Linked DNA regions of Callithrix jacchus. The protein of the gene in region 2 interacts with the protein of the main gene of each other region in a biochemical or structural test. Links are inferred from orthologs where the notes say so. Each region holds a gene or a part of one and is shown on either strand. Other genes may lie near its edges.

Region 1 (15,245 bases), on a different chromosome or scaffold from region 2:
ATTGCTCCACTGCACTCTAGCCTGGGCAACAGAGACAGACTCTGCCACAAAAAAAAAAAAAAAAAAAGAAAAGAAAGGCCGGAGGAAGTCAGCTAAGTAAAAGATACCACACCTACCCAACCCTCAGAATCACCTGAGGGAGTTTAAACCCATGCCACATCTTCTCAATCTGAGAGGTCTGGGAAACCATCACTGCCTTAGGAGATAAGATACTGGGGGTGACTGTAAAAGGAGGGGAAAAGAAAAGGTTCACAGGTGAAGATTATAGCCTAAGTAAAAATTTGTGCTAATAATACTGTTTTCATGGACAACAATTTACGTATCAGCCATATGTAAGAAATTTGTACCTTATAACTTCAAACTTCCTTACCAAGAGGTACAGTGACTTAGCACAGTGATGCCTTTCTTTGCTAGAAAATAAAGATAAGATGCAGTGGTCCACTCTACAGTTGGACAGATCTGTATTGAAATCCTTGCTCTGCCACTGACTAGCTTTGTGATCCTACACGTTATTTTACCTCTAGAGGTCTATTTTCTTACAGTGTAACCAGAAGGACACTATCTCATTGTTTTAGTGTCAGAAGGATTAAATGACATGATACAAGTGAATGCTTAAGACAGTTACCATTATCACCTTAAACCAGATGAGATACTAAAATAATCACCTTGAAAATTCTGAGTTCACACTAGGGCACAACCTCTCCAAAAAGCTCAAACTATTATGCCTGAGAATCAGATGTGGTTGCCATAACAACATCTGTTCCTGTACACATTACAATGTGCTACATGCACAGGAGTGTTTTTATACAATATTTTACATCCGTGTGAGCCATGCATACTCAGGTTAGCACATTCTTAACTTCACAAGCTCAGTGACACTTAAAATATTTATGCAACAGAACATCTGCAACTAAAATAAACCTAGGTAACTTAACAGTTATGTAGAAACATAAAGCTGTCATCTAGATTTTGCATATCTTATGTTTTAAAAATTATATAAAGTCACTGGTCTTTTAGGAAGATTTTCAGACTAGAAGATTGGTGCCCACAACTGGAAAACCGTGACTGTGTTGCTGCTTATCCTGGTACTTTGAGTATTCAGATTTCAGGCAAGAATACTAGCAGTGACCGCCGGAATTTCCAGTACACCAGTAGAACCAGCTGTTTTCAGGCTGTACTCCTGTAAAAGTTTAAGATCTGTACACAAACAGAGGGAAGATGATGCCTGAGGAACAAGGTGAAAGCTAGGAAGCCAGGGGTCTGGCCCCTGACCCTTCATCAACTTAAGAGTTCACCTAAAATTGTATTTTGGAAGTGGGGGAAGATGCCTCATGCTTTAAACAAGAAAAACAGACTGAGGATACTTTATAATATACCAATCTAGATAAGGAAAAGTGTGAGGTGAGGAGCACTTCCCAGTTTACTTCACTTTAAATAGGTACTGCAGCAAGGCAGGGGCACAGCACAAAGAGTGATCCTAGCACTCCGCTGCCTACATAAGAACTCCACAGGCATACAGTCACTTGCTGTCACTGTTTAAGTGGACAACCTGGCCTAAGAGCAATTTAAAAAGGGAAATAACTCACAAGCAGCCCTTAAGGGGTATTTTAGGGGAGGACTCTCAAAAATTGAGTTTTTCCTCTGCCGTCACACCACGCAGAAGTTGTGACATTGTCTTCTGTGACCAAACGTGGTTTTTCCCAAGCAGCAGACATCAGCTGGGTGTCCTCTAACTTGGTTATAGTGTCATATTCCACAAGTTGGGAGGCTCAGTCCCTGAGACTGCTCTCCCCTTCTTCAAACACTAACTGGAAGTCTGGGCCTCCAGAAATTCTGATGCTTTAAGCTGGGGTTACTAAGACCCCCCTCAAGTTCTATTAATTTGCTGGAACATCTCTCAAAACGTAGGGAAGCACTTACGTTTGCCAGTTTATTATAAAAAATACAGATAAAGAGATGCATAGGGGCTCGGAGGGTCCATGCTCTCCCTGGGTGCACCACCCTCCAGGAACCTCCATGTTTTCAGCTATCCAAAAGCTCTCTGAAGCCAGTCCTCCTGGGTTTTTATGAAAGCTTCATCCTGTTGGCATCCTTTCCTACCTCCTTTCCCCCAGGTATAGGGTGGGGCCCTCTCTAGGGAGGGTTTCAAGACCCACAATCAGAAAGCTGGGTGAAGATTAGTCTTGCCTTGGGGTGGGTGAAAGGAGTGCAAGAGAAGGTCAGAGAGATTATTTTCTGAGGCCTAACACACCCAATATTCTAACAAAACATGGTAATAGGGGTTATGGGTGTTATGAGCCAGGAACCGTGGTGGACGAAAACCAGTATGTATCATAACACCACAAAAGGACAAGCAGATATGTCCATTTATAAATTATTTCAGAAGCATGCCAGGTGTTTGTATCTAAATGATGTAAAATTCTTCACGCTTTATCAAAACTACTCAGAAATAATTTCCCACAATAGGAAATATATTTCTTTCACTATTCTTAACAGAATAATTTAATTAAACCATGTTCTCAGTTTTTAAGCCATCTCTCAGGATCAAGGATTCACCAAAAGTATCTTTTCAAAAGCATTCTTGTACCAGGTTTTGCCTCTTGATGGCTCAGTTTTTTATACTTTTTCCCAGTTTTTATTTGCATTTTTCTTGTTGCCCCCCCCTTTTTTTTTAAGGCAAATTCTCACTCTGTCGCCTAGGCTGGAGCGCAGTGGCACGGCTCCCTGCAACCTCTGCCTCCCAGGTTGAAGTGATTCTCCTGCCTCAGCCTCCCAAGTAGCTGGGATTACAGCTGTGCGCCACCACACCAGGATAATTTTTTATTTTTAGTAGAGATGGGGTTTCACCATGTTGGCCAGGCTGGTCTCAAACTCCTGACCTGCCCACCTTGGCCTCCCAAAGAAAGTGCTGGGACTACAGGTGGGAGCCACTGAGACTGGCCTCTTACTGCTGTTTTTAAATGTAACTAATTTTGAAGCAGGATTCTGAGCACTTTTTGCATTTGGATACTCCCAGTCTCAGCTCACAAGAGCAAGAATTCTGTCAACCTAAATTTATAATTCCAATCTAAAATTTTAATACATTCCACCGTATTTCCACTACACAGGAATTTCTTCAAAAGAGACCACTCAAAAGGTTCTGAAGTCACCAGCTTCTACCAGAAGAGCAGAGCTTTACAGATGGTCGACTGAACCACAGGTTTCCACAAGCTCTTAAATGGAGCATGAAGGCTTCAGAAAAAGAAAGGGTAAATGCCAGCAATTATCAAAGACAAAAACAATTGCTCAGGAAGAGAATGAACAAGACTGCCTTAAACTAAAAAACTGGGAAAAGAAAAGGGACCATAAACAAAGTTTCTTTTTAGATTCTTATAAAGTTAACTTCAAGGTAGAAATATGCTACTTCAATTAACTGCCACCTGCACAATTTACACCCAAACTCTCCCTGCTGAGGCTGTGGCCAGCTTCTTTAAATATAGGGCCCATTGGGATCCTTGAGTATAAGCTCACAAGGAAGAACAAAACCTTACTATGAAATGATAAAGCATTTATGTGAACCTCCATTAGCCAAACAGCTTACAGGAGCACCACAAAGGCCTGTGTTCTGAGCACAGGCCTAGGAACCAGCCCAGACATATTTGGTGGCTCACTTTATCATTGTATGTGATAATGTCTTGATTTCCCTACTTGTGAAACAAGGACAGTTCTGAGAATCAACAATAATTTATAAAACGCCTGGAAAATGAAATGGGCAAGCCATCAATATTATAATACATAAAGGCCAGCGAGGGGGCCTTTACACTTTACAGTGCATCCTCATTCAAGTTATCACAGTCACAAAAGAAGTGACACATAAATACAACCCACAGCTAAGTGACTCAATTACAAATATATACCCTTACTAAAGAGGGTATCAGGATATGTAGATTCATTTTTAATTCTAACAGCTGGTCAAATAATGCATGACTTTTAGATTATGTGTATGCTTTTAAATTATATCTTTAACTTAAATCTAAAGCTAGGGCATATATTCAGAGCAGCCTTCCCTTTGTAAACTCTATTCAACATTGTCCATGCTTTCCTCTTATTTTCTTTATCTTTATTTCTAGTACACTGCTGAAATTCTTGAGGGGTTCCAGGATTTCTCCAGCAGCTATCTTGGAATCAAGGTTAAGGATCAAAATGCCAAAGTTTGTGAGTGAATCTCAGGGAACCCTGAAGGCAGTGGACTGAATTAATACATAGAGATGAGAGGACCCAGGACTAAAACACTGATATGAATTTTGCATTTTTCATTGATTAGAATAAACACATGTGCCCTGCAATCAAAACTGTCACCTTCCATAGCTGGCTCAAATGTTATCTGTGACTTCCTACACACATACACTCTACATAATCAAGTTGACTTGAGAAGCATAATACGTGAGGAGAGCCTTCTCATTCCAGCGAAGCAGAATATGAATTCTCACTTAAGCTGACCCCAAAACTGGCACATAGCAAAGGTAGGTCATAATGTAACACAGGTGTAAGGAGTACTAAGACACAGAGAGAATGAAAGAACATAATCATCCTCTCCTCACTTTCTAATTAACAGGATCAGACAGACAAACAAAAAAAAAAAAAACAAGAAGTCACAATGGCCACCCATGATGGACAAAGCATGGATGGTTTATCTAATAAAGTATCTCAAAATCAAGGTGGAAAGTGCCAATGTAAAAACAAGAAACAGCTCTCACATTCAAAATATCAATTAATTAGCATGGGGCTTTGGTTTATACCAGTTTCAAACACCAAGTTTCCAAACTAACAATATAAAAGATGTTAACTGACACTGATGTACAACAGCAAAACATGGCATTTGCTCCACAGTCAGTATCACAAACTCTTACAAAACTAGGAGAGGGGCCAGGTATGGTGGCTCATGTCAGTAATTCCAGCTACTCAGGAGGCTGAGGCAGGAGAATCACCTGAACCCAGAAAGCAGAGGTTGTAGTGAGCTGAGATTGTGCCACTGCACTCCAGCCTGGGAGACAGAGCGAGACTGTCTCAAAAACAAACAAAACAATAAACTAGGAAAAGAAAAACTTTAAGTTTATGCAATGCTAGTAACAAGTCAAGCTCTGTGAATCTAACTACAATTAAATTATTTACACATAGGGAGCAATGTTTCTCTTAATGTACATGTGTCTCAGGCAAGAGAATGAAGGTTAAACTCCCACTGAAAGTATTTTACCTTACAAAGGACACAACAGACTTTATGACACTCTTTTAAAGTAAAACTCCATTGGAAGTCCAGGTTGAACAAGTAGCTTATTTACACAACAGTCATGGGTATTTTGCTGTAAACCACAATAATGCTTCTAACCTTATAAAATAAAAATTTCAATTATTTACCTTTTATATCATTTTAAAAATCTTTATTTCACTAACACTTAAATACGTTACTTAGAAAAAAGTATATAAAGTTTAATTCTGGTATGTTTTTTACTACACTTATATGTATTGTCCATCTCAATACATCTAACAAATGCCATCTCAAACTAAATATATTTTCCCCAAACTACACCTCTGATACTTCAACTTTTCATTTGTATTTAATAATACGATAACCATTTCCAGCTCTAGAAAACCCAACTGTATTCTATGTGTATGTGTGCACACACAACACATGCCCCAATTATGAAATCAACTGGCTGAGGTCTATTACAATTATTGCAGTTTTGTTACTTATACAAGATTCTCAAAAGAAAAATGACAAATTCTGAAGTTTTTCTTTTCTCTTTTCTACCCTGTGAAGTATCAATCCCTACTTTCTCCTGTATAGCAAAACAGCTCTATCTTCCTTAGGTTGCAAATTTCACAATAAAACTTGTAGCCAACATCATCTCATTCAACTAATATACTGCTGAGTATTTCAGTTTTCAAAATACTAACGTTTTTAATCCTTTCAAAACTTTTAGGGCCAGGCGTGGTGGCTCACACCTGTAATCCAAGCACTTTGGAGGCCAGGGCTGGCGGATCACCTGAGGTTAGGAGTTCAAGACCAGCCTGACCAACATGGTGAAACCCCACCTTTAAAATTAAAACAAAACAAAAAAACTTTTAAGTAGTTACAAGGAAAGCAACAACTTCACACATAGTATACCTTATGTTTTTAATAATCAAATATAAATAATAAGCCACTGTGGCTTGATAAAAGCCTACCTGTCGGTTACTTGCAAGTGGTACCAAAACCACCTGTTCAATATCCCAAAGTTCTTATTTTAATATAAATAGTATTAAAACTCTTCCTGCACTCTGGTATAAGGAGAAAAAGATAAACTTAAGCAAAGCAAAGCAAATTAACAGAGGGAATGTCTAAAATCAATGACTTCCAAGATTAGCAGTGCCAGGGGCATTAAGAGTTTCAGCCCAATCTCCTATGTTTTCTATACAGGGACTATAAGAACCAAAATCAGGGGGGAGGGAAGAGCTCCCCCCCCAAAAGAAAAAAGAACCAAAATCAAAGAAGTTAATTTCAGTATATAGCAGCTCCTGGTAAGGTAGTCTCAGGAAATTTTTTGACAAAGGCCAAGATAAAGAAAGAATTTCTACCTAAAGTTCAGTTGCACAGACTACCCATTCCCACACTCTAGTTGAGTCTTTTACTATACTTTAATAAGTATACAGTTTACCTACTATAAATCCCAGTCTTCAAGCCCAATTATTTCACCTTTTTTTGGGGGGTAGAGATGGGGTCTCGTTACGTTGCCCAGGCTGGTCTTGAACTTCTGGCCTCAAGTGATCCTCCTGCCTCAGCCTCCCAAAGTTTTGGTTTCACAGGCATGAGCCACCTCGCCTGAACTCCCCTTACTTTTTTTGAGTGTTAAAACCAAGAAACCTTTGAAACTGTAGAATACGTGCTTTCTAAGAGCTCACAGCAAGTTTTCCTTTAAGGGTAAATGACTGTTACCACTTAGGACATCATTTAACATTTGTTAAATAAAACAAAAGCCCCTCCACAAACTTCATCTCCAACATTCCCTCAAATAAGTTGTCTTCAAATTATATGCTCATTACTAGAACTTAAGTAACTGTATATAAAACACCAAATAAAGATAAAAACTCTACCTGTCTACACATACTATACAGTATTTAAAAATTAAAAGAATCCCATTTAAAGATCTGATTTTTTTACAATTACTAAAAAATTGTAAAAGCAATGTAGTCTCTAGTCAAATACCTGTACCAAAGGGCCTCCTTTTCACTCACCAAAACGTTAATTGGTAGCAATTCTCCAATGAAAAATTCTCCTGTTAAGCACCAACTGGTTAACTAGGTATCAAAGAATACACCCATTCAGTTCCCCATAAACTTATCTTGGTGTATTTACGTAAGATACTTGTAACAAAGTCTTAAAGGTACCCACAAACAACCACTGTCAATCGTTAGTAGCAAGAACAAGTTCATGCAAAAGCATGTTTTCATCAGATATTTAAGGCTTTTAGAAGCTTGGAAATTGGGTCATCAAAGTAATAGTAACTGAATACTTAACATACTTTATACACAAGGGTGTAGAATGCAAATGATTACAACAATAACAGCATCTGCAAAAATTTCTCTTAAAGAAGCTGTAAGTCATTTCTTATGTTAATAAGTGTTCAGAACCCACTACTGCAACAGCTCTAACCGGTTCCTTGAAGAATGTGGCTAGGCTGAAATTTTGGAAGTGTTGGCTTTGGTGGTGACCAAGGAGGAAGAAGTCTCTGGCTTCCCTGTTGCTGAAGTTCCCACCCTCCAAAATGAATATACCCACCGGTGTGAATTGACAATGTGGTCCAAAGAGCAAGGCAGGAAACGGAGTCCAGATCCTCAAAATGGTAGTACAGGGCATAACCACTAGGCCACCTATCAGTTCAGTACAAAAGGTACAACCCTGCGCATCATGGTGTAAAAGCTGGGGCCTAGGTTTCGCATTGTGCATCTCACACCTATGGAAATAACAAGAGGAGTAAAATCTATAGAAATCAACACACCCTAAGAAGGTGGGTGCTCACAGAAGACTGCTATCAACATTTTGGTAAAGGTGGTTGGCTGCTGAGATAATGAATGGCAATTACAAGTCCAATTTTGGAGGGAAACAAATTTTTTACAATCAACACTTGAGTTTGACAATGAAGAACCCAACATGGGCTTGATGTTTACCAACAAGGCTTTGCAAATCATGACACCCATCTTCTCACTTATAAAAACTACTACCCCACAAAAATCCAACATCTCTCAAGAATGATTTTTACCTCTCAAAGAACTGGAAAGATCTGGGCTATGATGAAAGGAGTTAATTAGCTATGCCCCCAAACCTGTTACTTTCAGGTTTCAAACTTTCTCCTTTACCACCAGACTTAGGAAAGCTATGGTGACACAGTCAAAATGTTATTCTAGAGAAAGGGAATCCGAACCAAGGATGTGCCAAGGTGAATCGTCAAGAACAAATGTGGACTGTCTGAGGGCCAACAGTTATGAAAAAGTAAAAGGAGCAAACTTCTAAAATGCAGGGTGGGCTCTTTAAAAGGAGTAAAATCACTGCTCTTGACTCACTTAATCCTTCGCCATGTTGCTGTCAGCTCACCAACTAAGTGCGAGTGTGACTTGCTGGGCCCATTTTCCCATGGTCTGTAGAAGGCGCTGTGAAGCACATCCTGTTCTAGCTCGGGGGCCCTTCCCCCCTCTGCAGCCTTACCCAGTGCAGAGAATGCGCCCCCTACTGACTCCAACACTCATCGCCTTTAGCCGACTTGGCTGCGGTGCATTTTGGGTGGGGGCTGGTATTTTCTCCATGGCCATAAACCAGAAGCAACAATGCAGATTTCTAAAGAAACTGTATCAAGCTATCCAAGAGATTCTTATTTTCCTTTCCATTCTGAAGGTTCAAGACACAGGCACAAGAAGCATCAGGGATGGGAACTGGGTGTGTGGGGATGGAGAGCATTAACATGGCAAACACAGCAAACAGTTTGGTTCTTTTTCCCTCCTAAGCCTTTGTCTGTAAAATGGGGTTATGGCAAGAAGTGTCCAGAGAAACTGGTGAATGCAAAAACATTAAGAAGACTTCGCGTGTGTGTGTGTGTGGGGGGGGGGGGGGTGTGTGGCTAAAAAGGTATCAGACCTAGAGTCTTGCCTTGGGCAGAAGAGGAAGAGAAGCAATCGCGCCTTTTCCAGCAGACAGGGATCAAGGTTGGGGGGGAGGGGAAGGCAGGCAAGCAGCCCAGAGGAAAGAAGAGGTGAATAGAAGGTGCTCCCAAAACTACTCCCCATTCATTACGAGAAAATCTTTTTGCAGCTTTCTGGATTTCCATTTTCTACCATCTTACTGCAAAGTTAGGGCTCAGAATGTTCGAAGGAGGTGCTGACCAGGCAGCTGAGACTGGGAAAAGGGATGGTTGGTAGACTGTGGTCATGATAGGAGGGAAGCTGGCAGGTTGGGAAGGAAGGATTGCACAGGGGAGGTAAAGACTTTCACTCCGTGCCATGCATGCTCCCCGGCCCCCTCAACCCCGTCCCCCCTCCCCCAGCTAAGGGTGGGTAGACCCGGCAGAAGGCTCGTTCCAGGCATGGGAGTGTGCGTGGGGGGGGCTCCTTTTGGGGGTGGGGGGCGGACGGGATTAGTTCTAGGGATGGGAGAAGCTAGGTTCTGGCTGGAGGCGGGGTGGGGGAGATGCCATTAGCTGCAAAAGCTCCCGGCAGCCAGGCTGGCTGCTGGCCTCGGTGGGCTCACGGGGCGGAGAAGGGGGTCGGGCTGCAGGAGGAGGCGCCTGGCCCTCCAGAGCAGAGCCGGGTAGCGGTCCGTGCCGGGACTGGCGGCCCGTCGGCGCCGGGGTGTGCAAAGAAGCGTGTGTGCGGCTGGAGGGCGGCGATGCGAACAACAATGCGCCCGCGCCCGGGGCCGGGCTGGGCAGACGGCCGCGCGGGCCGGGGTCGGGAGGCAGGGCTGGGCCGCGGGTCCGCGCGCGGCGGCGCCAGGCTTACCTTGACTCGGCCTCAAGGCGCGCGTGGGGCCGGCGTGCTCGGGGGCCGGACGGCGGCGGCGGCGGGCGGATGGCGGCGGCACGGCGGTGGCGGCAGCGGGGAGGGCGCGCCCGGGGCCTCGTCGCGCTCCGGCTCGGCGGGCTCCGGCTCGCGCCGCGGCCGCGGGTGCTGCCGGGGGGCGCGGCGGGCGCAGCAGAGCGGCGGGCGGCGGCGGCGTCGTCGAGCGGTGCAGACAAAGGAGGGGCGGAGGGAGGAGACGGAGGGTGTGGGAGAGGCGGCTTCACCGGCGCGGGCGGCGGCGGCCGCGCTCCTCTCGCTCCTCAGCAGCGGGGACCGAGAGAGGGAGCTGTGTCTGAGAAGACGCCAAAATCCCCCTTAGCGCTGCCTGCGGGAGTGGGAGGGGGCACAAGATGGCGGCGGCCGGGGGGGGCGGGAGTTCAGCTCATGGATCCCGGCGGGCGGCGGAGGGGAGACCGGGCCAGCGGAGGCGGCGGCGGCAACAGGCGGGGGAGGGGGGCTGATCCCGCGTCTCCCCTCAGCAGACAATACAAGCGCCTCGGACCGAGTCCCCGAACCTGCCCCAGCCAAAATGGCGGCCGAGAAAGAGAGGAAGTGACGTAAGTGCCTCATTAGCATAAGAGGACTCATTGTCCAGCTAAGTAGGGGGGGCAGTGGGGACAGTACCCCTAACCCCCTTTCCCCCAGGGAGGCCCCTCTTACTCCCACCTGTGCTTGCACCTAACTTTTCCTGAGGGAGGGTGCTCTCAGAACCCCCACCCCCGCCTGAGGGAAATTATATAATCCCCACTGAGGTGGGGGAACTCTCGCGAGAACCAGGAGGATTTACCATTGACCCACTAGGAGGCGCCGTGGATAATGGCCGCAGTGCGCTCCCAGGGCCCGGGTGCTCAGCGGGCGCCTTCCTCTGGCCGCAGCGCCGGCGGCGGAGGCAGAAGCAGCGGGCCGCAGCACGCCCAGCACTCAGTCAGGTGGCCGTGCTGGGGATCCCTGCGCGGGCCCAGCTGGGCCTGGACTACATCTGGCGGGAGGGGTGTGCAGGGCGGCCCGGGGCGGCTCCACGTGCTCAGAGGCCCGCGCTTCCTCCACGCCTGAGAAGCGGTGGAAAGGCGCCGGAACACCTGGCCGGTCGCGTCTGATGTCTCCTGCCTTAAATGAGGTGTGAGGGCCTCGTGCTTCACACAGTGACTTGGGATGAGACACAACCCCAAGGATGCCTGCCCCTTCCTGGGGGGTATTCGGTGCAGAGGGGTCGAGATTTTATTAAGGTTCGCCATTACTCTGTGACTTGACATTCTTCCCAGTAACAGTGATGGACTCTTCTCTTTGACCTGAATTTAAAAAAAAAATGGGAATCCTGGTGCCTTGAGGACTCCCAACGGGTGAAATTTCAGGATGAGAAGTGATGTTGCCAATGGGGGCATTGGCTCTCTGCAAGATCCTTAAACAACACACCTTGTAGTCCTAGGGACATAACTTTTGGTGCTCCCACAATCTGGGTAGTGTAAGACAGCACATGGTTACGTTGAAAAGTTAGGTCAAACCCAACCAATGCATTATTTTCCTCAACATTTTTGAACCAACCTTTTAAAGTAGGTTGGTTAAAGTATCATGATTTAAAGTATCATTGGTTAAATGTACTGGCAAATAATAGATGTCAGTAGTGAAGAATTAACCAAGCCTGTTTCCTTAATATGTGATTTGTAAATTCAAGTCAACATACTTTTAAGCCATACTTAACATCCGAAAATAATCTGACTTCGTTGCAAGTAACATCAACTGTGATTACACATAGCTGCTCAACGTCTAAGACTTCAGTTAGCCCTGTTTAAAAAACTTTCATACAACACATTTCTGAAATTGTGATAAAATATCTTTAAAAACCAAGTCAGTATTTCAAGGGAAAACAGCTGAAAAATGTTGTGGAAAAAGGGGTTGGGGCAAAGCATTTGATTCAAAGAACCAAAGATAATCTAATTACATACTGCAGAAAACAGACAAAAACTAATATGAAATAAGCAAAGTAAGTTTAAGTTTAGTTTTCCTTAGATATACTTAGATTCCATATAGTGATAATGCAAATACAAAGGGAAAACATCTGGATTTCATCTTTGGCCTCATTTACAAAGCAAAATAGGATGCTGGATTCAGATGTAAATGTTTAATTTTACAGTGTTTGAGCACCAGATTTACTACAAAAATGCATCTAAATAGTCCAGATTCTTTTCTAAATGACTTCCAAATGCTGTGAGTCTTCAATGCTCAAATACTGTCTCTACTGTAAATTCTAAGAGTGACAGTGTTGTAATGATTGTGGGAATAACAAATGAAAAGATTGAAAGAGCAAACATTATCTACTCTAGTGAGATCTGAGAAGGCAGTACTGTGTATCAGGTTCTCTAAGGTGGTTACTTAATTTCTGCTCCACATACTTGACACTGAGAACTTAACTTTGAGTTTAGGTTAAGAATAAATTCTAATCACTCCAAAAAAACAGAATATTACATTTCTATTATCTTAGCTTAAAACTAATTGCACATCAAGCACTAATAAATTTTCTTGTTGTTATTAATGAGAAATCTCCTCCCCAAGGAAGGCAGGTCCCTTATTGGACAGCTGGTCCGTTCTGGACAAAAGGGAAACAGTAGTGATCCTTATTGAAATGTGTATTATGGGTTCAACTACAGAAGTATGGGAGGTTTTCATATTTGAAATGACACCACAGGTTTTATAGTCTGGGATTCATTTCTGGTAGAATCTGTCAGAGAGAAATGCAAATAAAAATTAGACTTTCAATTTCTTTCCTTTTAAAAAAGACAGGGTCTCACTCTGTTGTCCAGGAATGATCACAGGTCACTGCAGCCTTGACCTTTCAGACTCAAGTGAATCTCCCACCTCAGCCTCCCAAGTAGCTGGGACCACAGGTGAGTACCACCACACCCAGCTAATTTTTTTATTTTTTGTAAAGACAGGATCTCCCTGTGTTCTCCAGGCTGGTCTCCAACACCTGTGGCTCAAGCTGTCCTCTTGCCCTGGACTCCCAAAGTGCTGGGATTATAGACATGAGCCACTGTGCCTGGCCTCAATAAATTTCTTCAGCAGCCAAATTAAGCCAGGAAAATGTAGTAATCAGGAATATTGTTCAATAAATAATTTAGAGACACCCCTTTTATTTGCAAAAGAAAGTCAACTTAAACTAATTTTCTCAAAGCATGCCCTTACTCAAATTTTAAAAGATACTACATGATCCATAACCTATGCTACAGTTAGAAATTAACTGATCTCTTCTGAAATACTTTAGAGAGAGTAGATAAACGTATTATTAGCCCTGGCTTTATTGGATAGCTTAGCCTGTATTTTAACTGGCAGAAGTGCTTAAGGAAGAGATTTTTCATATTAGTAGAGATGTGAGCTTTGCTGAGGGTCTTCAAATAATATGAAAACAATTCTTTTGAGAAAAAAATTGTTACGCTGGGCTTGGTGGCTCACATCTCTAATCCCAGCACTTTGGGAGTCCAAGGTGGGTGGATGACAAGGTCAGGATATCAAGGTGATCCTGGCCAACACGGTGAAACCCCATCTCTACATAAAAAAAGAAAAAAGTTAGCCAGGCGTGGTGGCGTATGCCTGTGATCCTAGCTACTTGGGAGGCTGAGGCACTTGAACCCACAGGCAGAGGCTGCAGTGAGCCAAGATCGCACCACTGCACTCCAGCCTGGGAGACAGAGCAGGACTCCATCTTAAAAAAAAAAAAAGAAAAAAAGAGAGAGAAACAAATTGTTACATAATTCAGTAAGATGTTTAAAAATTACTGTAGCAGCTATGTTTCTGCCTCAGTATCATTAATACTTTTCCTTACTGATAGAGGTTATTGCTCAAAAGAGAAAGATACGACTATGTAATCTACTGCTGCCAAATTGCTTCCCAATTCACAATATGCATTTTAAATAGACTTGCTTTGGTAGATGAAATGCTTCATCAATTCCACAGCTGAAAAGAACCCAATTCTAAAAGCCTGCTCTAAATGGATTTTCTAGTTTAAGAAATTTGAGATGCATTTTTAAGGAAAGGGCAGAGGTGTGTATTTCTTTTACAGATCATACAGATACAGCCATGATATAGCTATAAACATTTCATCAGTTAACATTATCTTACTTCTGACATCTATTGGGTATAAAGATTCATGATTCCAGTATTTATAAAGAATATTTCAAATTATTCTCCATGTAAAAAATTCTACATTCACTTACTCTAATCAAAGCAGCAATACTTTATGCAAAAAAACCATATACATTTATTTATAGGTCTTAATACAGCAAAATGTAAATGAAAATTGAGACCATTAAAACTCATTAGGCCAACAACTTTAAAATTACTTAATCTGAAATATAGAAGTTCTTCATAAAAAAGATGTGTGAAGTTTACCTTACCTTATGGTTTATACTTTAAGAGTACATTTTATCAAAATCAGTAACCAGGCTTCTTTCATGTTTAAAGTGAAATGAACATAAGTATAAATGATTATATTTCTTTTATGTAGTAGCAAAAAGAGTCAATAATCCTCTCAAGAAAGATACTATTTCATTTCCTCCCAACTTGGATTCACCATAAACACGATCCACAAATGATATTGGAACCTAGTTAAAAACAAAAAACAAAAAACATTAAAGTCAGTCTTCAAAAATAATTAGGTAGCTTAGCAGGTATACCATATTACCAACACAACAGAAACAGGACTAAAAAAAAGTCCTAAAAAGAAGTCCTTAAAGTAAGTACTTTAGGATTCTTAAAGCAACTATGTGTAGCCGGGTGCGGTGGCTCACGCCTGTAATCCTAGCACTTTGGGAGAGTAAGACGGGTGGATCACCTGAGGTCAGGAGTTCAAGACCAGCCTGGCCAACATGGTGAAACCCCATCTTTAAAAAAAAAAAAAAAAACAACTATGTGTATCTCCAAGTCTTTAAAATTAAATGCATCATCTAAAGATAGGTCACATGAACCAATCTACAACTGTTTAAAATGCACTGATCCTAGGTATCACCTTGGTTTACTCAAGTTTCAGTTTGCATTTCAAAGAAAAATTATACCCCAAAAGTAAAGCGGCCTTTTGCTTAGATTTTTCAGTTGTTTGTCAAATTTAGCTATAACAGCTTAGCATTAAGTAAAACATCTTGCAACTTCCACGGGAGAAGTGACATTTCAGGTTAGTTATTTTCTTGCTA
Region 2 (14,604 bases):
GGAGAATGAGGAAGGAGAACCACTTGAATCCAGGAGCTGGAGGTTACAATGAGCCGAGGTCACACCACTGCACTCCAGCCTGAGCAAAAGAGCAAGACTTCATCTCAAAATAAATAAATAAATAAAAATAAACACAAGGAGGCCCAGTGCAGTGGCTCACACCTGTAATACCAGTGCTTTGTGAGCCCAAGGGATGAGGATCATTTAAGCATAGCAAGACATCTCTAAAAACCTTTAAAAAATTAACCAGGTGTGGTAGCACGCATCTACTAGGGTCACTCTTGAGCCCAGGACCTTTAGATTGCAATGCGCTATGATTGTGCCACTACACTCAAACCTGGGTGACAGAGCAAGACTCTGTCTCTTTTTTGTTGTTGTTTTTCCTTCAGACAGTCTGGCTCTATTTCCCAGGCTGGAGTGCAGTGGCACAACCTCAGCACACTGCAACCTCTGCCTCCCAGGTTCAAGAGATTCTCCTGCCTCAGCCTCCCGAGTAGCTGGGACTACAGGGTGCGCCATCATGCCTGGCTAGTTTTTGTATTTTTAGTAGAGATTAGGTTTTACCATGTTGGCCAGGATGAGCTCATACTCCTGGCCTCAAGTGATTTGCTTGTTCCGGCCTCCCAAACTGCTGGGATTACAGACGTGGGCCACTATGCCTGGCTGAGAACCTATCTCTTAAATAAAATCCACAAAACCCAAGGAGACAGATTATCTAGCATCTTCTGCCTTTTCTCTAGAGAGATGAGGTAGCATTCAAAAATTTATTTGTAGGGTTTAACAAAACACACAAGAAAAAATGACATTGTCTTTTTTTTTTTTTTTTTTTAATTTCTTTTTTCTTTACTTATTCTCTTTAGTTTCAGTAAATGACATTCTGGTAAAGAACCAATATAACCATTGTGAGCATGATATTCAGCTGTAAGTCTTCTGACAACAAAGGCAAAGATGAGAATCTCATTAGTCAAATATGATGTTATCTTCAAGGGAAGAGGTGTATCAATTCATCAATGTATAAATTTGCCTACGGATACTTTCCTCTCATCTCAAATACCACCTTGTTCTCAATTCCAATTTTTAGACCAATCACCAAGTACAGGATTGCCTTAGATTCATACTCACCCCCATTTCTTCTTCCCGTACCACATACTGGGCCACTTTGAATGAGCTCAAATATTCATTCATGCCCTGCAATTCCGTGTCTTCAGTCTCATCTTGGTTACGGTCCAGCAGCCGTTCAATGGCCTTATCATCATAGTGGATAACACTGCTATCTTCTCCCTCTTTGTTGTCTCCTCCTATAAAAAAATCAAGGGCCCATACCCCCAAAGTCAGCTTCAGCAGCTGCAGTGGAAAAAGCAAGTCCCACAAGACCCCTGGTATCAAAGATTCTCCCTAATCTTCAGAGAGGCCAAGCCCCACACCAAAATATAAGTTCCTGACTAGCTCACCTCCATCAGTGGCTTCATCCTTGAATAGTTCCTCAGTGCCAAATTTGAGGATATCATCAAGCTCCTGTTTGGACATAGATCCAGTCTTGGAGCCCAGCCCAGGCCGCACCACTAGATGCGTCAGCATCATTTTCTTCTTTGCCACTTGTGTGATGCGCTCCTCCACTGACGCACGGGTCACAAACCGGTAGATCATTACCTTTTTATTTTGCCCAATCCGGTGAGCTCTGCTAAAGGCCTGGAATTGAGCAGGAAATAAAGCCAGAAATCGTATTTTCCTGACGCCACTCTTATCCTGACTTCCACATAATATGCTAAATTCAGTACAAGGCAAGGTCTGCAGCTTGCCTTCATAGGAAACATCCTTTTGCACCCCTGCCCCCAGACACCACCCTCTATCATGTTACCCAAAATAGGACCATAGCTAACCAAACTCTCTGGCTTACAATAAGATAAACACCACAAAAAGAATCTGTTGTTTCTCACTTAAAAAGTTTATTCCAGACGGTGGAGCCCTCATAGAGGTCACTGTGCCTTTCTAGCATAACATGTTATTTATTGTATCTAAGGATGCCTGCTGCCTCTGCTCACCTGAATGTCATTATGGGGGTTCCAGTCAGAGTCATAGATAATAACTGTGTCAGCAGTGGCCAGATTGATTCCAAGGCCCCCAGCTCGAGTGGAAAGCAAGAAGCAGAACTGCTGAGCACCCGGTGCTAATAAAGGAACCAAAAACACCATTAGAAGTGTCTCCTAAATTCCAATTCACAAATGTAGTTTTAAAAATTAAGCTGGGCACAGTGGCTCATGCCTATAATTCCAGCACTTTAGGAAGCCAAGGTGGGTGGATCATTTGAGGTCAGAAGTTCGAGACCAGCCTGGCCAACACAGTGAAACCCCACCTTTACTAAAAATACAAAAATTAGCCAGGCGTGGTCATGCACACCTGTAATCCCAGCTACTTGGGAGGCTGAGACAGGAGACCCACTTGAACCCAAGAGGCAGAGTTTGCAGTGACCAGAGATTACACCATTACACTGCAAACTGGGTGACAGAGCAAGACTCCAATTCAAAAAAAATTAGCTGGCCATGGTGCCACATGCCTGTAGTCCCAGCTACTCAGGAGGCTGAGGCAGGAGGATCACTTGAGCCCAAGAGTTCAAGGTTATAGACAGCTGACTGTGCCACTGCACTCCAGCCTGAGCAACAGAGCAACACCCTATCTTTAAAAGAAAACATGTCAGAATAGGTCAGGTGCAGTGGCTCACACCTGTAACCCCAGCAGCACTTTGGGAGGCTGAGGTAGACGGATCACCTGAGGTCAGGAGCTGGAGACTAAGCTGGCCAACAAGGTGAAACACTGTCTACGAAAAATACAAAATTAGCCAGGCACGGTGGCTCACGCCTAATTCCATCACTTTCGGAGGCCGAGCACGAGGTCAAGAGATCGAGACCATCCTGGCCAACAGGGTGAAACCCCGTCTCTACTAAAAATACAAAAATTAGCTGGGTGTGGTGGCTTGTATGTATAATCCCAGCTACTCCAGAGGCTGATGTAGAAGAATCGTTTGAACCAGGGAGTTGGAGGTTGCAGTGAGCTGAGATGGTGCCACTGTACTCCAGCCTGGCAAAAGACTGAGACTCAACTCAAAAAAAAACAAAAAAATCAGCTGGGCATGGTGGCAGGCGCCAGTAATCCCAGCTACTCGGGAGGGTGAGGCAGGAGAATTGATTGAACCCAGGAGGCGGAGGTAAAAAAAAGAATGTCAGAATATAAAACCTCATGAGGCAAACACCACAGTCATGCTCACTGTAAGCAAGGGTCCATGGATGGATACTGAAATCAGTGTGAAAGTTTCAGGAGAAACAGGACACTGACATAGTCTCAACTATCTCCCTCAAGCTACTAGCCGGGCGAGGTGGCTCAGGCCTATAATTCCAGCACTTTGGGAGGCTGAGGCGGGTGGATCACGTGAGGTTGGGAGTTTGAGACCAGCCTGACCAACATGGAGAAACCCTGCCTCTACTAAAAACACAAAATTAGCCAGACGTGGTGGCGCATGCCTGTAATCCTAGCTACTCGGGAGGCCTGAGACAGGAGAATCACTTGAATCCAGGAGGCGAAGGTTACAATGAGCCCAGACTGTGCAACTGCACTCCAGCCTGGGAAACAAGAGCGAAATTCTGTCTCAAAAACAACAACAAAAAAATTTCACTCAAGCTGTTTATCAATCATAATGGGAACAAGAGAAACTTCATCCTGCAGAAACTCAGCAGATACCACCTTAACTAGTGACCAAGTCATTACCAGTAAATCCTCCAGTATGATGCATTGAAAAGGACACGTCAGGCCGGGCACAGTGGCTCACACCTGTAATCCTATCGCTTTGGGAGGCCGAGGCGGGTGGATCATGAGGTCAAGAGATGCAGACCTTACTGGCCGACATGGTGAAACCCTGTCTCTACTAAAAATACAAAAATTAGCCATGGTGTTGTACCCCCTGTAGTCCCAGCCACTCGGGAGGCTGAGGCAGGAGAATCACTTGAACCTGGGAGGCGGAGATTGCAGTGAGCTGACATTGCGCCACTGCACTCCAGCCTGGCAACAGAGTGAGACTCCACCTAAAAAAAAAAAAATCATCACCTCTGTGCATTCTTACCCAAAATCTCTAATAAAATCAAGAGAAAACATCACACAAATCCAAACTTAGAGACATTCTACAAAATAACTGACCAATGCTCATCAAAAGTATCTCTATCAACCAGGCACAGTGGCTCATGCCTGTAATCCCAGCACTTTGGGAGGCCAAGGCAGGCAGATCACCTGAGGTAAGACCAGCCTGGCCAACATGGAGAAACCCCATCTCTACTAAAAATACAAAAATAGCCAGGTGTGGTGGCACATGCCTGTAATCCCAGCTATTCAGGAGGCTAAGACAGAAGAATCGCCTGAACCCAGGGGGCACAGGTTGCAATGAGCCAAGATCATGCCACTGCACTCAAGTCTGAGCAACAGAGCAAGACTCCATCTTAAAAAAAAGAAAAATCACCTGTATCATACAAGAAAAGGGTGAAAAAAGTGAAGAAATGTCACAGATAGCAGGAAACATGGTAACTAAATGGAACATGGGATCTGGGATTGGATCCTGAAACAGAAAATGGACAGCAGGAAAAATGCGTGACCCTCATTTAAGGTCATTTATAGTACAATACCAATGTTAATTTCCTAGTTTTGATCATTGTACTGCAGTTATATAAGCTATTATTAAGAGAAGCTAGTTGAACAGTACACATGAACTCTGTGTCATTTTGTAACTTTTTTCTAAGTCTAAAATTAAAATGAAAAGTTTTAAAACAAGTAGTAGCAGCAATACTGGGCACAGTGGCTTATGCCTATAATCTCAATACTTTGGGAAGCCAAGGCAAGAGGATTGCTAAAGACCAGAAGTTTGTGATCAGCCTGGGCAACATGGCAAGACCCCACCTCTACAAACATATTTTTTAAATTAGCTATGAGCAATGGCTGATGCCTATAGCCCCAGCTAGTCGAAAGACTGAAGCAGCAGGATCACTTGAGCCTAGGGTGATGTCCAGACTGTAATGAGCCATGATCATGCCACTGCTCTCCAGCTTCAGCAACAAGAGTGAGACCCTATCTTGAATAAATAAAACAAAACAAACAAACCTAGTAGTGTCTACCAAGGCAGCCAAGTCTGCCAATAACTTGCTATTTGAGCTTGAGCAAGTCCTGACCCCTTGCTCGCCCTCAAAATGCAATGCTTTCTCCTTTCTAACAGAAAGAACAAAGACCCCAAAGGAAAAAAATTCTCCTAGGAATAGTGTAACACATTCTTCCAATTGAGACATTCAAAAGCTTTACTCTTCCATCTCAACTGACAAAGCCCCAAAAGAACTACACTGAAAAGGAGATGCACAAGAAGTTACAATACCAAAATGTAAGCAAATAAGGATGACTGAAACGAAACAACTCCTTCTCTCTCACCATTGAAGCGGTCAATGGCCTCCTGCCGCATGTTCCCAGTGATTCCACCATCAATGCGTTCATATTTATAACCTTCGTGTTCCAAGAAATCCTCTAGCAGGTCTAGCATCTTGGTCATCTGTAAAAGGAGCACGGTTTAACTATGGAAAAGTCAGATGTTAATTCCTTTCCTTATATCACTGAGGGTTGTCTATGACTGTTCCCTAAATCTCCCAGCCCACATGGTACCTGGGAAAAGATGAGTACACGATGTCCACCCTCCTTAAGGTTCTTGAGCATTTTCTGCAGCAGCAATAATTTCCCAGATGCTCTGATTAGGGCACTACCATCATACATGCCATTAGGCATCTTTGGGGCTTCCTGAGGACAAAAGCAAAGAAGAAAAAATATCAAAAGAAAGCCCACATGAAGAGTCCCAACCCAGGGAGGAAGAAGAGGTGGCACACCTACCATCGCAGCCACAGGGAAGAGGTACGGATGGTTGCAGCACTTCTTAAGATCCATCACCACATTTAGCAGAGACACCTGGTTGCCACCACCTCGGGCATTGAGTGCTTCAAAATTCCGAGTGAGGATGTACTTGTAGTATTTCCTACGTGGGCAAGGTAGAAACGCGGGTTAGACTCGAGAGCCTTTCAATAATGGAGTCCCAGTAACTGAGATCTTTCTTCGAACACATCCCACTTTGGGACTAAGGACACCTAACACACAAGCACCACCACCACCATTTTAAATAAGGAAGGTATAACTTAAAATAAGTAAGAATTATGTGCTCCAGCGCCCTAGCATCAGGTTTCTTCAGGCCTTGCTTGCTCCTGTCACCAGATGCCTTGAAGATGAGTAGGGGAGGAATAGGAAACACTGCAGACTGGCAGATGTCTAAATGGAGTCTGCTTCTGTCCCTCCCAACTCACTTCTGCATAGGGCTTAGCTCCACACGCACAATTAGTTCCGTCTTGGATGGCATATTCTTGAACACATCAGCTTTGAGCCGCCGTAACATGTGCGGCCCCAGCATGTCATGCAGTTTTTTTATCTGGTCTTCCTTGGCAATGTCAGCAAACTCCTCCAAAAAACCTTCCAAATTGCTTCAGAAAGAAAAAGGAAAAAGTTACTGGAAAAGGAGAAAGGAAGAAAGGAAAGTGATACAGGAAATGGATAACAGGAAGAATGAGAAGCATAATTATGAGCTGATTACAGATAAGCACACACTTACTGGAACCTCTCAGGGGTGAGAAAGTTGAGCAGATGAAACAACTCTTCCAGATTGTTTTGTAATGGAGTCCCAGTCAGCAACAGCTTATGCTGGAGTGAGTAACCATTCAAGACCCGGAAGAACTGGTGAGGCAGATGGAGAGAGGTGAAATCCAATGAAAAGAGGACTCTGGTAAATCTCTGCAAAATTTCAAGTTGTTTCACTGCCCAATAGTTAAGCCTCCCACTCCTCACACTCTTTTTACAGGCCTGGCCACCAAGGGCTGTCACATATAAGGAAGGAAGGCAGAGACAATTTTTCCCTCTCCTCTCCTCCTACAAGTTTTCCCCTTAATGAATTAGATCTAGAAAAAACTCAAACTGGGTGCTCCAATGTCCCTCCCTAAGCCCTCACCTTAGACTGATTGTTCTTCAGCCGATGGGCTTCATCCACGATGAGGCAGGCCCAATCAATAGAGCCCAAGATAGCCATGTCAATGGTGATTAATTCATAGGATGTCAGCAGCACATGGAATTTCACAGATGCCTCTTTCTGCACATGAACGCAACTTGGTCACTACTAGTCAGCTCCTCTGGTGTAAGCACAACCAGGGGACCAATGGAACTTTTTCCTCCTCCCAGGGTTACCCTTTTGTCTCAGAGACCAGATTACAAAGAGGTAAACTGAGCCAGAAGCCACAACTCTTTCTCTAGAGTGGCTTTCCTCCCTTGAGATACCTTCATGCGGGAGGCCTTCTTGCCACCACGAATGGCATTGTCTTCAAAAGAGAACTCATTCTCTCGGATGATGGCACGGCTGTCCTTGTCACCCACATAGGTTACGACATACATGTCTGGAGCCCACATTTCAAACTCCCGCTCCCAGTTGATGATGGTAGAAAGAGGGGCACTCACTAGGAAGGGGCCTTTGGAATGACCCTTGGAGGAAAAAGAGAAGGAGAGTGAGGACTGAGGGCCCCAGCACACTGCAATCCCAGTGAACACCCACCACCCTGCTGCCCCCTCAAGCTAAGCCAAGGACTGGAGCCTGCACTGCTGCTCCTGCTCTCACCTTCCTCTATGCACATGCCCTGCCCACTCCTTTCTAAAAAGCCAAGGTCCCACCAGAACTGCAAGTCTTATCTCTTCCATTAAGTCTTTCTACACTTTTTTTCTGAGATAGAGTTTCGCTTTTGTTGCCCAGACTGTAGTGCAATAGTGCAATCTCAGCTCACTGTAACCTCCACCTCCTGGGTTCAAACGATTCTCCTGCTTCAGCCTCTCAAGTAGCTGGGATTACAGGCGTGTGCCACCACGCACAGCTAATTTTGTATTTTTAGTAAAGACGGGGTTTTACCATGTTGGTCAGGCTGGTCTCGAACTCCTAATCTCAGGTGATTCACTCACCTCAGCCTCCCAAACTGCTGGGATTACAGGCGTGAGCCATGGCGCCTAGCCAAGTCTTTCCATACTAATTCCACTCACAATTCTACTTCCCTCAACACATAATCATTCTGCTAGAACTGAGACTCTATGAACCCATTGCTAACTCTACCCAGGGTTCCATGCCCTCATATCTTCTGCTGTGTACATATGTTTATCCACTATCATGTTTATCTACTATCTACTCAACACACGTGTACATGTGTTTATTATCCACAGTGTTCTTGAAGATCAGAGACCAATTTTTTTATTCCCTTATCTCTCTCCTCAGAGCATAAGTGAAGGCTGCAAACATAAAATACCCACACAAAAACTATCAGGCCCAGATTTCCTTACCTCCTTGTAAAGGGAGTAGAGGAAGACTGCTGTCTGTACAGTTTTCCCAAGGCCCATCTCATCAGCCAAGATGGTGTCAGTGCCCTGAGCCCAGGAGAAGCGCAACCAATTCAGGCCCTCCATTTGATACGGGTGCAGAGTTCCACCTGTAGCATCCAAATACTCTGGCTGTCGCTCATACTTCACAGTTGGCTGAAGGATGAAATAGAGAAGTCAAGAGCTGGCAAGGTACTCCCTTCTTCCCCTAATACAGAAGCTGCTTCTACCTCACTAGTCTTCACAGATCCTCCTGGAGAGAGCTACAAAAAATTCTGAGGGAAAAGATCCCCTATGATTACTGCAAATTCGTGTTCAGTTTAGGGTCCTACAGGAAACAGGGCTTTAACCAGACAGACCTGATTTTGGTCCCATAGATCACTGAGGAAAAACATATCACAGACTCCCTATCAACACAATAATTCTAGTCAGGATCCACCAGATAAATAATCGTCATGTCTCTCCTAGATTCATCTTTTCAATGTTAATCACCCTCAAATTATACTGTACAAGCAAAACCCAGAGGAAATGAGCCTGAATTAAGCCAGATTCCAATGTAAGTTCATAAAAGCTTGGCTGTGTCCCTCCCCATAGATAACACTGCATCTTTTTTTCTTCTGATGCCAAAAAAAGAAAGTAATCCTAGTGCTTTCTGATACACAGAGATGTGAAGTGGGGAAGCCTACTTTGTGAAGTAATCTCAGCTACAAAGTTACTATTTGCATTTCATTACTTAGAGTACCATGATTAGACCACAGCAAAGATACGCTGTCCTTCCCAACAAACTACAGTCCCTTTCGCCCCAACTCACATCAACCGTTGGCGTTTCCGGAGGCCTCTCCAACTTTCGCAGCTTTACCTTCTTGAGTTTCTTGCCTGGTCGGCCTTCCTCACCCCTCATTAACTCCCTAAAGAAGAAAGACATCACACAGCTGCCAAAGCCCTTTTCTACAGAAGAAACAACCCTACTCCTCCCCCAAAATCACTCACCTGTGATTCCAATAGCTCTGCTTGAACAGGTCATAATCCTGGATCTCCACATCCTCACTCTCCCAAGAAGCCTGATCGTAAGGTAAGTCCCGCCACTTGATCAAGTAGTGGACATGGCCCTTCTTATCCACACTGCAAGTCAAGGAGAGAAAACCCTGAGCCAGAAAAGGCAACCTCCTCACTTCCTCTAGAAAACTGACAATACCAGGCAGGGCGCGGTGGCTCAGGCCTGTAATCCCAGCACTTTGGGAGGCCGAGGTGGGCGGATCACGAGGTCAAGAGTTTGAGGCCATCCTGGGCAAGACGGTGAAACCTGGTCTCTGCTAAAAATACAAAAATTAGCCGGGTGTGGTGGTGGGCACCTGTAATCCCAGCTACAGCTACTCAGGAGGCTGAGGCAGAAGAATCAATTGAACCCAGGAGGCAGAGGCTGCAGTGAGCCAAGACTGCGCCACCACACTCCACACTCCAGCCTGGGAGACAGAGCTAGACTCCATCTCAAAAAAAAAAGAAAACTGACAATACAGTATGTTCCACACCAGACCTCTTGGTATGCCACAGACCACATGTATTCAGAATCTCTATTATACCAGTTTGTGACCAAAAATTATCTCTAATCTATACTCCCCTAGAGCTCAAACACCAGAATTCAGTCAGTTAATAATTAATATAGTGTTGGCCAGGTGCAGTGGCTCATGCCTGTAATCCCAACACTTTGAGGAGCCGAGGCAGGCAGATCTCTTGAGGCCAGGAGTTCAAGAACAGCCTGGCCAACACAGAGAAACCCTCTCTCTACTAAAAAAAAATTCAGGCATCAGGCCAGGCACAGTGTCTAACATCTGTAATCTAGCACTTTGAGAGGCCAAGGCAGGCAGATCACAAGGTCAGGAGTTCGAGACCAGCCTGGCCAATGTGGTGAAACCCTGTCTCTACTAAAAATGCACTGATTAACCAGGTGTGGTGGTGCACACCTGTAGTCCCAGCTACTTAGGACACGCCTGTAGTCCCAGCCTGTAGTCCCCTCTTCTACTGAGGCAGAAGAATTGCTTGAACCCAGGAGGCAGAGGTTGCAGTAAGCTGAGATTCACACCACTGCATACTGCATTCTAGCCTGGGTGACAGAGTGAGACTCTGTCTCAAAAAAAGAAAAAAAAATTAGCTGGGCATGGTGGCACACGTCTGTAATCCCAGCTACTCTGGAGGCAGAGCCAAAGCATCCCTTAAGCCTGGGAGGAAGAGGCTGCAGTGAGCTTACATCGTGCCACTGCACTCGACTGGGCCACAGAGCGAGACTCTGTCTCAAAAAATGTAATAAACAATAATAATATAAAGTGTCAAGTATAGTAGCTTATGCCTGTAATCCCAACACTTTGGGAAGTTGAGGCAGGCAGAGACTGCTTGAGCCCAGGAGTTGAAGACTGCTGTGAGCAGTGATCACGCCACTGCACTCAAGCCTGGGCAACACAAAAATAAATAAATAAATAATATAAGGCTAGGGATGATGGCTCACGCCTATTAATCCCAACACTTATGGAGGCCAAGGCAGGCAGATTGCCTGAGGTCAGGAGTTCAAGACCAGCCTGGCCAACATAGTGAAATCCCATCTCTAGTAAAAATATAAAAATTAGCTGGGTGTGGTAGTGGGTGCCTGTGCTCAGCTACTAGGGAGACTGAGGCAGGAGATTCACTTGAGTCCAAGAGGCGTAGGCTGCAGTAAGCCAAGGTCACACCACTGCACTCCAGCCTGGGCAACAGAGCAAGACTCCATCTCAGAAAAACAAACAACTAGGAGTGGTGGCTCATGCCTGTAATCATAGCACTTTGGGAGCCTGAAACAGGCTGATCACGTGAGGAGATCATTTTGGAGATCCCAAAATCCCAGCACTTTGGGAGCCTGAAACAGGCTGATCACCTGAGGTGATCATTTTGGAGCTCCCAAAATCCCAGCACTTTGGGAGCCTGAAACGGGCTGATCACGTGAGGTGATCATTTTGGAGCTCCCAAAATCCCAGCACTTTGGGAGCCTGAAACGGGCTGATCAACTGAGGTCAAGAGATCCAGACCAGCCTAGCCAACATAGTGAAACCCTGTCTCTACTAAAAATACAAAAATCAGCTGGGCATGGTGGCTCATGCCTGTAGTCCCAGCTACTTAGGAGGCTGAGGCAGGAGAATCACTTGAACCTGGGAGGTGGAGATTGCAGTGAGCAAAGATCACGCCACTGCACTGCAGCCTGGGCACAGAGCAAGACACTGTCTCAAAAAAAAAAAAGTGTCTTCCAAGTCTAAGCTATTGGTTACATCCACTTTCCCAATCCCTTTAGCAGGGTCTCCCACGGAAACTGCCCATCTCCCATGTGCCCAGCTGGTACCTGTGGTTAAGAATTCGGTGGATCATCATCCACTCAGGTTTTATCCCATAGCGATAGAAGCGTTCTTCCATCTCTGCAAATTTAGGATCCTTGTTCTTCCGCTTTCGGCTCTTTTCTTCATCACCACCAAAGTCCCCAGAAGGTGGCTCATCCATATCATTCTTCCGCTGATAGTTTCGGAACATCACCTGACAGTGCAGCTCCAGCTTCGAGTGGAAAGAGAAAATCAGCCACCAAGAAGCTGTGTTCATTCCTTCTATTCACAAGGCTGTTTTCACTACCCTCTTCATCGTAGCCCCTGCATCTCCAACCTGTGCTAGACTTACCTGCAGTTCAGACACCCAGGAGCAGTGCCAGTAAGACATGCCTTGCCATTTCACAAAGAACTGCCGCTCTGGCCGCCCCTCCAAGGGCTTTGGGGAGGGTGTACTGGGATCAGCATCTGGAGGCCGAGGTACTGGTGTGGGAGACGGTGGCTGACCCCACTTCCAGATAAGGATCTTCTGCACTTTGCCCTTAAGAGCTGGACACTGAGAGAAAAAGAGACAACCTAATCCCAAATCATAACCATGCGGGGAAAAGGGACAGCCCAGTCTCAACTTCATCAAAGGACGATTAAGATCTCATTTCAAATAAAATCTAATCCCAGAACTCCTCCAGAGAGAGAATGCAGGTTGAGGACCCCTCATCTGAAATGATTGGGACCAGAAGTGTTTCGGATTTCACATTTTTGGATTAGCGTGCTCAACCTGGGATAGAATTCCCTCTCCGTTTCTGGACATCATCCAGGATTTGTGTGCCACCGTCACTCCTATCTGCTTAACAGAGCCAGTAGTTAGACTTTAACAATAATCCAGAACCAGTGGGCACAGGAAATCAACAGACTTAGAGCACAGAATTCCTCCCTTAAGCAATCTAAAAGCAGTAAGTGGCCCTATTCAACATTCTAAACTGGCTGGCATGGTGGTATACACCAGTAATGCCAGCACTTAAGGAGGACAAGGGGGCACAGTGGTTTGAAACCAAGAGTTCAAGACCAGCCTGGTCAAAATAGTGAGACCCTGTCTCTACAGAGAATTTTTTTTTTTACCATGTTGGTCAGGCTGGTCTTGAACTCCCAACCTCAGGTGATCCGCCCACCTTGGCCTCCAAAGTGCTTGGATTCCAGGTGTGAGCCACCACGCCCAGCCAAGAATTTTTTTTTTTTTTTAATTACCTGGATGTGGTGGCAGGCACCTGTACTCCTAGCTACTCAGCGAGAGGCTGAGATAGGAGGATCATTTGAGCCCAAGAGTTGGAGGCTGCAGTGGGTTATGATCACACCACTGCAGTCTAACCTGGATGACAGAGACCCTGTCTCCAAAAAAAAATTTTTTTAACAAAAACATCAAAAACACTGTAAGCTACCAAGACCCTGAGGCAGAGTGTCAAACAAGGACAAACATTCTCAGCTAGAAAAACATGGCTTCATCTCCTCTAAGGGAGCTGGCAAAACATCTACTCCTCTGTTTGAAGTTAGTCCTACATTTTCCCAGGACAAAAGTATCCCAACACTACAGGATGAAGGAAAATACCTGTCTCAGGACTAAAAAGCTCATAGTTCCTCTCCTGCACCTCAGCCTCACAATACCCTGCATAGAAAAGACTACTCTTTCCACGTCTTCTGCCCTGGCTGAGATCAGTCACTCACCGTACAACGGGGACACAGCCATTCACCGTTGGGGATCTCTGGAAGTGGGGGATTCAGGCAGTGGATGTGGTAGGATGAAGGACAGGTGTCACAGCAAAGCAGCTCCCCACCATCCTTGCAGACCCGACAGAATTCCATATGGTGGTCATCCTCCTCTTCAAGGTCTCCCCCAACCTCTTCTAGGATCTCCTCACCCTCTGAATTGTCTTCTTTAGCCTCCCACTGGATGCCTTCCTTCTCCTGCAGTAAAAGACCACAGATTCACGTTATTACCACCCACCCACCTACCCATGCACTCACCAACCAAAGTCTGAAGCCAGTGGCTCCATCATTCCCATCCATTCGAATGCTTCCCAAAGCTCACAACCCGAAGCAGCAGCATTTCTATTTCCATACAGGCCCCAAAGAGCTTTACTGTCCCACCCTTCCTCTCATGGGCTCCAAGGGGCCACAACAGCCAGACACTCACGCAGTGTGGGCAGCTCCACTTGCCCTCGGGAGCCTTCTCCATGTCAGGATCCAGGCAGACCATGTGGTAAGCTCGGGGACAGGTATCACACAGGATGATCTCACCGCCTTGCTGGCACACCTCGCAATAGTCCTGGTGGTCTGTCTCATAACCATCCACAGCAGTCACCTCCTCCTCGCCTGGGCAAGGAAGAGGGAAAGCCCAGTTATTAGAAAAAAACTACCTCCCCCCACCCCCCAACCCCTATCTCCTTAGGGAGATTCTTCCCCAATCATTCCCACCTCATCCCATCACAAATATACAGAAAAGAAACACACCTTTCTTTTTCTTCTTTGTAGTTCGTAGTTTCTTTCGGCTGCGGCTACTACGGCTGGTGGAACCATCAGAAACAGAATAGCTATTGATACTGGCATCATCGAAGTCTGATTCCACATCTAAGTCATCATCCTCACTCTGGCAGAATGAAAAAGAATAAGGTTAGACGTTCTCAAGCCAAGGGGAAGGAGAAAGTGGCAAGGAGGGGAGTACCGTCTCACTGTGGATACTCGAATCCCAGCAAGCACCGTTATATAGGGAGCCTAGTCTCTTGTTCTCTGGGCAACTCACCACATTCTTACATGC

Evidence for each region.
Region 1: the proteins of CHD4 (region 2) and ADNP form a complex in vitro, tested with the Homo sapiens proteins (2 studies listed by BioGRID). The link is inferred for Callithrix jacchus from reciprocal best matches to the Homo sapiens genes CHD4 and ADNP.

Annotation. Positions count from the first base shown.
Region 1 is NC_133506.1:46,451,828-46,467,072, forward strand, and holds the start of ADNP (activity-dependent neuroprotector homeobox protein), read right to left. Parts: upstream 9,541-15,245; 5' UTR 8,795-9,540; coding exon of another isoform or gene 8,648-8,794; 5' UTR 7,964-8,647; coding exon 7,796-7,963; intron 7,315-7,795; exon of another isoform or gene 7,252-7,314; intron 77-7,251; exon of another isoform or gene 1-76. Other genes in the region: uncharacterized protein LOC118153633, read left to right, coding at 8,648-8,794, 9,552-9,557, 9,652-10,231, 10,548-10,621; DPM1 (dolichol-phosphate mannosyltransferase subunit 1), read right to left, coding at 14,556-14,660.
Region 2 is NC_133510.1:20,776,442-20,791,045, forward strand, and holds part of CHD4 (chromodomain-helicase-DNA-binding protein 4), read right to left. Parts: intron 14,437-14,604; coding exon 14,301-14,436; intron 14,163-14,300; coding exon 13,984-14,162; intron 13,755-13,983; coding exon 13,515-13,754; intron 12,355-13,514; coding exon 12,151-12,354; intron 12,031-12,150; coding exon 11,825-12,030; intron 9,586-11,824; coding exon 9,454-9,585; intron 9,372-9,453; coding exon 9,275-9,371; intron 8,620-9,274; coding exon 8,428-8,619; intron 7,588-8,427; coding exon 7,387-7,587; intron 7,202-7,386; coding exon 7,064-7,201; intron 6,793-7,063; coding exon 6,671-6,792; intron 6,543-6,670; coding exon 6,369-6,542; intron 6,047-6,368; coding exon 5,905-6,046; intron 5,815-5,904; coding exon 5,683-5,814; intron 5,573-5,682; coding exon 5,455-5,572; intron 2,168-5,454; coding exon 2,043-2,167; intron 1,690-2,042; coding exon 1,452-1,689; intron 1,299-1,451; coding exon 1,123-1,298; intron 1-1,122. UniProt on the Homo sapiens protein: ATP-dependent chromatin-remodeling factor that binds and distorts nucleosomal DNA. Acts as a component of the histone deacetylase NuRD complex which participates in the remodeling of chromatin.